Solanum lycopersicum: one gene and its partner. The protein of the gene in region 1 binds, or shares a complex with, the protein of each later gene. Links are inferred from orthologs where the notes say so. Each region holds a gene or a part of one and is shown on either strand. Other genes may lie near its edges.

Evidence for each region. Proteins that work in one complex are often made in the same cells at the same time.
Region 2: the proteins of uncharacterized protein (region 1) and uncharacterized protein are in contact, whole or in part, in a cryo-EM structure (PDB 8K20), measured with the Arabidopsis thaliana proteins. The link is inferred for Solanum lycopersicum from reciprocal best matches to the Arabidopsis thaliana genes AT4G22720 and AT5G53045. Residues at the interface, in NP_194003.1 of Arabidopsis thaliana: Arg47, Leu54, Leu58, Gln91, Val92, Ile95, Arg98, Val99, Leu100, Gln102, Leu103, Ile319, Glu320, Asp321, Ser322, Phe324; in NP_850925.1 of Arabidopsis thaliana: Ile33, Thr36, Ser37, Val40, Asp41, Lys42, Ala78, Asp81, Val82, Leu85, Arg88, Thr89, Ile90, Phe93.

What each region holds. Positions count from the first base shown.
Region 1 is NC_090801.1:54,824,854-54,828,782, reverse strand, and holds the start of uncharacterized protein, read right to left. Parts: upstream 2,801-3,929; 5' UTR 471-2,800; coding exon 1-470. Other genes in the region: glycine cleavage system H protein 2, mitochondrial, read left to right, coding at 3,781-3,856.
Region 2 is NC_090802.1:49,623,286-49,627,053, forward strand, and holds uncharacterized protein, read left to right. Parts: upstream 1-1,237; 5' UTR 1,238-1,333; coding exon 1,334-1,368; intron 1,369-2,153; coding exon 2,154-2,226; intron 2,227-2,261; coding exon of another isoform or gene 2,262-2,312; coding exon 2,313-2,368; intron 2,369-3,010; coding exon 3,011-3,122; 3' UTR 3,123-3,268; downstream 3,269-3,768.

The DNA of each region.
Region 1 (3,929 bases):
GTCTCCCCAAAAATCCTATACCGTCCTTCACTATACGCAATAACCTGAGTATTTCCACCACTCACGTATAGCACAACCGGATCAACCGCCCCGGTTACGATTCGACCCATTTCAATGTGCGCAACACAGTGGTTCACCCCAACAATAGGTTTCTTCCATAGCTGAGATAGAACACGTACAACCACTGCCGAAACCTGCAGTGGAGCACCCATCCCAGGGCCTTTTGTGTAGCAGATACAGTCAATTTCATCGGGAGTTACTCCGGCGGTTTCTAGAGCGGATTTTACTAACGGTAAGATGTGTTGGTGGTGATGCTGGGCGGTTTCACGGGGGAGAAAACCTTGGCCTGGTGGCGTTATGTAGGTGTGTCGTGGATTAGAAAGAATTGTGCCGTCGATTGCTACTACGCCGACGCCAATTTTGTTGGCGGAACCCTCGAACCCTAGGGCTATCAATTTCTTATCCTTCATTGCCGCCGCCGTCGGAGGATTAGGGTTTAGCAGTCAAATGAGCAGTGACGATAAGGGTTTGGTCTCTCTTCTCCCAGAAAATTGGACTTGTTTAGGGGACGAGGCCTAATACTTTTCCTATATTACACTTAAACACCTCTATACTATAGCTTAATTACAAATCCACATTTTATATTTTATAATCAACAAAACAACATATGTGGTGAATTTCGACTAGTGGAGTCTCTGATAGGGGTTGGCATTCGATATTCGGTTTCAAATTTTGAGTTTGTTAATATCATTGGTAGTTGAAAGTAGATATCAAAATTTCAAATTTTTAAAATTCAATTTGGTAATTTGATAATCGGCAAATTAAGTTTTAATTTTGTGCGATACTCGGTTATACTGTATTGAAGTTGTAGCTGATTGTATTATGAAGTTAATACTATTTTTTCAATTAATTTTCTTTTTAATTTGGAGACATGATATAATAGAAAATCAACAAGCAAGAAGACATCAAAAAAAGCAATTTGATTCAATTAAAAGACATATGTATTTGACTTGTATGTTTATTCTTTTACTTTCTCATTGAACTTGTACTAATCATATATTTATATAAAAGAGAACTCTAGGCCCGCCTACGTGGCGCCACCACAAGTAAGAATTTCCTTTCAAAATTATTTATTTCCAAAACTAGCCTTCCTCTTTTATAAAAAAGAATTTGACTTTTATGAAAAGTAGCAACTTAACTGAAGAGTTGCGACTTTTATGAAAAGTCTGACTTTAATGAAGAGTTGCGACTTCTTTCAAAAATTGTGACTTTAATGAAGAATTGCAACTTTATGAAAAGCTGCGACTTTTATGAAAGGTTGATTTTTCTCAAGGGTTGCAATTTTTTCAGATAATTGTAACATTTTCGATAAGACACAATAAACATTGGTTCACACTACACTTTTTTGTCTATAAATGGAGGAATTTCCTCTCATTTTAAAACAACAAAAGATTTGATCTTCTTTTTCTACTTCCGCAAAGTTAAATATTATTGTGTTTTGCTCCTGTTGAGTGACTTACTAACACCATTATTTTGTATCAATAAGTTAGTGAATAAAAAACGTTCCATTCTTAGATAATGTAATTCTTTAAACTTGTGGTATTGGAGGGGAATAAGTGAACATTATGCATTCAGTGGACTCGATTTTTTTCTTTTTATTTCATTCTATTTTTACATATACTGGTATGTTTTTTATACTCATTAATTTATGCATATGATATAGATTGTTGTTTTTAATACATGTTTTAAACTCTATTATTTATGTTTCTGCAAAGTTATTGTATCCGATTATATTGAGCATATACACATTTAGTACATATATTCATTGTGTAGAAAATAATTATTGTACTCAGTTCCAATAATTCATATTTTGATATTCTATATTAAATTCTATAACTTAAAGTGCTATATGTAAGCTTACATATTATTTATTTTTACATGGATATGAAATTTCTGATTTATCAATTGAAGAAATTCATTATGCAAGTTCAAAAGTTATAATTGTTTTCATGTTCAAACTTAATTTTTTTTTTTGAATATGTTAACAATTTTTTGAATTTTCTCCTCAGACATATATCACAATTGTATAATCTATGCAACTTAATTGTTTCCTTTTCTACGAAACATCTTTGTATATATATTCTTATTTTCTTCTTTATTTTTCTTTTAAATGTTGATTAAAGAGCCAATGATTTATTATTTCGTAAATAATGTATTCATTAGAGGTTCTTGAGTTATGTGATAATGACAAATAATCAAATTCATGTTGGAATATTGCTAATATTTTTTTAATAACCTATTTTCCATTATTTTTAATTATGATATTAGTTAAAAATTATTTGCAAGTTCAATGCAATTATTATTTATGACGGTGCAAAAGCGTGGCAAATTACCTAATGAATAATAAACATGTTGATAGTGACTTCATTAAGTAAATAATCAAGAAAATATCAAATATCAAATGATTTTAATGTCTAATACCAAATTCAAACCCAAATATCATAATTCTAAAATTTTACTCTCGGATAGCATATTAAATTTCGAGTTATCGAATATCAAATCACCAAAAAATTTGGTTCGATTCAATAGTTTAATTTTTGATATTTTATGCTCAATTTTAAGGTGCAAAAATAGTAGATTGTGTGCAAATTTTATCACCACCACGTTAAGATTAAAAGGTTGTTTTGAGAAAAGCTCTTAGCTCAACAGCAACAAATCTAAGTACATAAAACAAAGTAGAAAATGTAGCAACTAATAAAGGAAGCAATGCAAAACCTATGTTAAAAAAACAAAATAAAAATAAAAATAGTGCGATAAGCAACACACTATACAACAAATAATGATATATATCAAAAGTCTAACCCCTCAAATAGAAAAAATTATTCTTCACTATCTACTAATCTTCTATCATCGTACGCGACTTTCATACCATATTATCTTAAGGTCATATTATTCATAAGTTGAAAATATGTCATATTTGCCTAATCACCTCTTTCTAATACTTCTTTGACATGTCACCTATCTCTTTACTCCTCGACTTCACTACTACAACCTAATGATACATTATCTCTCAAAAATTATATATTTTCTAAGAAAAAAAAGGTTAAATACTTAAATGAAATTTCATCAACCTAAATATATTTAAATAATTTAAAAGAAAAGTATATATTAAAAAACTCAAATAAAAAAGACAAGTTCTCATAAACTAAATATTACAAATAAGTTATATATTTAAAGTGCACTAAAGTTTCTTTTTTATTTTTCATCCAATTCAATATTCGATATATATATTAGAGCCTAACTAAATTCGAATTTGCATTAAAAAGTAACTAAACTAATTACAATTATTAGTGAATATATCTTATGAAATGACTATAGTAATTACAATTATTAGTAAGTATATCTTACTAAATAGTAAATAATTTGTAATCATTTTCTATATATCTTATTAAAAGGGGGGAAAAAAAAGAAAAAAGAACTCCCAATTAATATTTCTCAAAAGAAAAAATGTATAAACAAAAGGTAGGGAACAGGATATCTTCCATGAGACCCACCTCATGGAATGACCTACCAACAAAAAATTCCAAGTGACACTCACCAACTTTGCTAAACAACTTTGTTGACACCTCAACCCACCAGCCACCATTGTCTTCCCTATTTTTATTGCTTCCACTTTCTTCTATAACTCTACTGTACTTTTTATTTTCCATTTTCCCCTAATACATACAATACAAGTGTTGGCACAGCTCTACATCCAAAGCAGATTCCTAAAAGAAAAAAATGGCTACAAAGTTGTGGGCTTCAAGGGCTGCTTCATATCTCAGGATCTCAGCATTTCACAGGGCTTTTGCCACTGGTAATGGAGTTGTATTATTGTTTCTGGAATTACCCTCTTACCCTTTTGTTCGAATGCTTTGAGTTATGTGGAT
Region 2 (3,768 bases), on another chromosome or scaffold:
CATATATATATAAATAAAAAAAAATAGGAAAATCAATTCGAGGGGTAAAAATTAAAAATCATGATAATTCTAAAGGCAAAGGCATTGTCCATTCAATACTCAATATTTATACGGGGACTTAGCTGAACTCAAATTCACATACTTTCTATGTTCTTATTTATTTGTCTATTTTTTATTTGACATATCTATTAAGAAAATAATAATTAATATAATAAGTTTTTATTTTATTTTTTAAAAATTAATTAATTAAAAATATAATTAAAAAATTGTCTTTTTTTGATAAGTTAAAATGGATAAGTATAAAAGAAAAATTAGATAAGTAAAAAGGGACCGAATGAGTAGTATATTAAAGGGCAACTTTCACATATAGCAAATAAAAAATTCATATTTGTATGCTATAGCAAAGTTTGCATAATTGTGCTCCATAGCAAACATAGAAACTGTATAATTCGCTATACATATACAGTTAAAGCAAATTGTATAAAACGAAGTGTATAAAACAAAAAAGAGAAAGACACTTGGGCAGAGAACTGTATAAAAATGAAGTGTATAAAACGAATTGTATACAATTTGTTATTGTATAAAATGATAAAGAGAGAAAGACAAAAGAGACTTGACAAGGAATATACAATTGAATCGAATTGTATAAAATGAGAAAGAGAGAAATTAGATACAATTTGAAAAGTGTATAAAACGAGAAAGAGAGAAAGACAAAAGAAAATGGGCAGGGGAGTATTTTATTGTATAATTATAACTTATAAGTGTATAGGACGAAAATATATGTACTTGAATGTGTATATACAATTTTTTCGCGTTTTATACAAATAGAAACACAATTTATACATTTTGCTTCTGTTTGTGTAAGTGAGAAAAGTGAGGGTGACGAGCTAGATTTGGAAGAGTGACGAGCAAGATTTGAAAGAGGAGAGAGAGGGAAACAAAAATATATGTATTTATACAATTCTCTGCTTTATACAATAAGAAACAATTTTTATACACTTGTGTTTGTATAAAAAGTGAAAAAGCGAGCGAGAGATTGGAGGAGAGTGGCGAGCGAGATATTTGGGAGAGAGGCGCTTGACAATTTTTGCAAACGTTTGTAATGGAGCACAATTAAATCAAACTTTAGCTACTCCATTTATTTTAGATTATTAGTTTGCTATTATATACAATTTTCTCTAAACGACCTATTTCTGATTCACACTAATAAGGATACCCACTTACTCTTTTGCGGGTCGGGTTTATAGATTTTGGTACTTTTTCACTAAAACCCAAAATTCAAAAACCCTAATAATCAACCAATAATTTCAACTGCTGTACAGCAACTGAAGGAATGGATGGTGTGGCGTCTCCATGGGACTTCAACTGGTAATTTTCTCTTCATCTTACAACTAAGAAATCCATATTATTTCAAGAAAATTATTTTGTATTTATGTTATGTGAACAAATGTATATTAAAAAGATTAATTTATGCTCTTGCAAATTTTTTTTCTTGGTTTTAATCATTCATTTCAACATACCAATATGGTTTTACATGGTTCCTTATCAAAAAGACTTCTCCTTTTTAATGTTTTCTTCTTCTTTTTGATGGTTTAAGGGGTAGATGAGGGGGTTAGCTGGTTTTTTAAGTATTGGGTCATAGTAGAGCTTTCTCTGTTTATTTTTAATGTATTGTACATTGAGACACTTGTAGAGAAGCTTGACACTGAGCTAGGAATGAACTTGTGGTGTCGAGACTCTGCGTAAATTGAATGTTAGGTATTAGCTTTGTTGGTGGAGAGCATATGGAAAGTTTCATACTGAATTGTGCGAGCAGAAATTTCAATTTCAGGGACATGTTGTGTGTAATTGTCCCTAATTTGTCTAATCTCTTCTTGATGCAAACCTATCTTCGTATCTTCGTTTACTTAATGTATTCTATTGTTGCTTGTCCGCTTTGTCTTGTGTGAACTATACATCTCCATCTACTGTTCCATTTGGCAATGAAATGGGACTTCATGCATTTTTTAAAATCAAGAATCGGAACTGAAGAACAGAGTAGCAAATTTGTGACATCTAGACACTAGCAATAATGAGTTACACTCTGTGTTAATGTATTTGTGATTTGTATTCCTTGGCGAAGGAGTGAATTTTATGAGGTATACTTTATGCAGCAACTTGGAAGTAGATCTTGGGTCTGAAGAAAATGCTCATATTGTCTATACTGCATTGGCTGTTGATAAGGAGGTATAGTGATACTGAGGTTTTTTATTCATTTGTAGCATCTGTTTCGATCCACCAGTGCTCCAATGTTTGTACAATTAAAATTGCAGTTGCAGCCTGATAAAGTGAAGAGGCATATGTCTGTATCTAACGGGAAGCTTTCAGTGTGAGCACATGCTTCTTCTACTCAATTGAATTTATTGAAACCAGTTGATTTTTGAACTTCCAACTGTAGTTAGGAGTTATTGTTGTCAATATTTTCTTATACGTTCAGGATATATATATGTATACGTGTGTGTGTATGTGTGTCTGATGGTAATTTATGGATATCTTCATACTTCATCAAAATTTATACATATCTTCATGTTGTATTTGCTGAAAAAGCACCCAAAAGTACAAGTTCTTAAGAACATAATTGTAATGTGCTAGTTGCTTCATTTTTACTCCTATCATCTATAGAAATCAAGCACTGATATTGCGCTATAGTTTTGATGATACAAACAATGTTTTGTTTGCGTGCCTGAGCCATAAATTGACAGGCAACAGATGTAGTAATGTAAGTGTTCTTTGTGAACTCTTCCTTGTTTGCTGAAATATACTTGGCACCAGTCAGTTGTCTTTATAGCAAATTTCCTAGTCAAAGCAAACCTTGTTCAAAGTGACGCTTCTTCCTCCCCCAGCTTTCTGATTAGCAATGAAGAATGTCACTCGTCTTTACCAAAAATTTCTGAATGCTGAGTGTTCAAGTTATTATACTTGCTATTTCTGCATCATTCAGCTCTCTGAACTGTTCCTAATGTTTTTACAGGAATTTTGAGGCTGTTGAAGCAAGATTTCTTCGTGCATCATTTAGTGCATTTGTAGATGTACTCACACTCACAACAAAAACCATTGAAGAATTTGGTTCAAAGAAGGAATAGAGACCTCTATTGGATATTTTTAGACATTGTTCATTTATTGATGTGCCATATAACAGGAAGCCACTTCTTGTTTGTAATTGACAGTGGTATTCATTGCCAACTGATAATTTAACTTCGGATTATATTCATCTTTATAATTGATATCATGTAATCTAGAACTACAAGAAGCACTAAACAAATATGATAAAAAGCTATAAACTGATCTTCATATAATAAAAAAGCTATAAACTACTGATATATATAACCTTTGACGTGCAGCAAAGTATCAGATGATATTCTCATTCCTTATGCTTCAATCATTCCATCAGATTTTCGTCATATATGTTTTGGTGTTTCTAAATGCAAGGGTAAAAGGAAGATCAGGGAACCAGAGACATGTTTTCAGTTTCAACCACAAATAACTCTCATAAATTTCAATCCAAATTTCGTCCAAAACGACCTTAAAATCCTTGCTGTATTACTTTATAATCTGTCAAGACCATGTCCAGGACAACTAATCAAGTCTGCCAATACGTTGCCAAAATTTAATATACAATTGAGGAAAGGTAAGCAGTGCACTAATACAAAAAGTATGTCCCTGATTTTCCGTTTAACAACTGGAGAAGCAACAATAAAGCATGTTCCTGGTTTACAGCTGCAAGTGCTA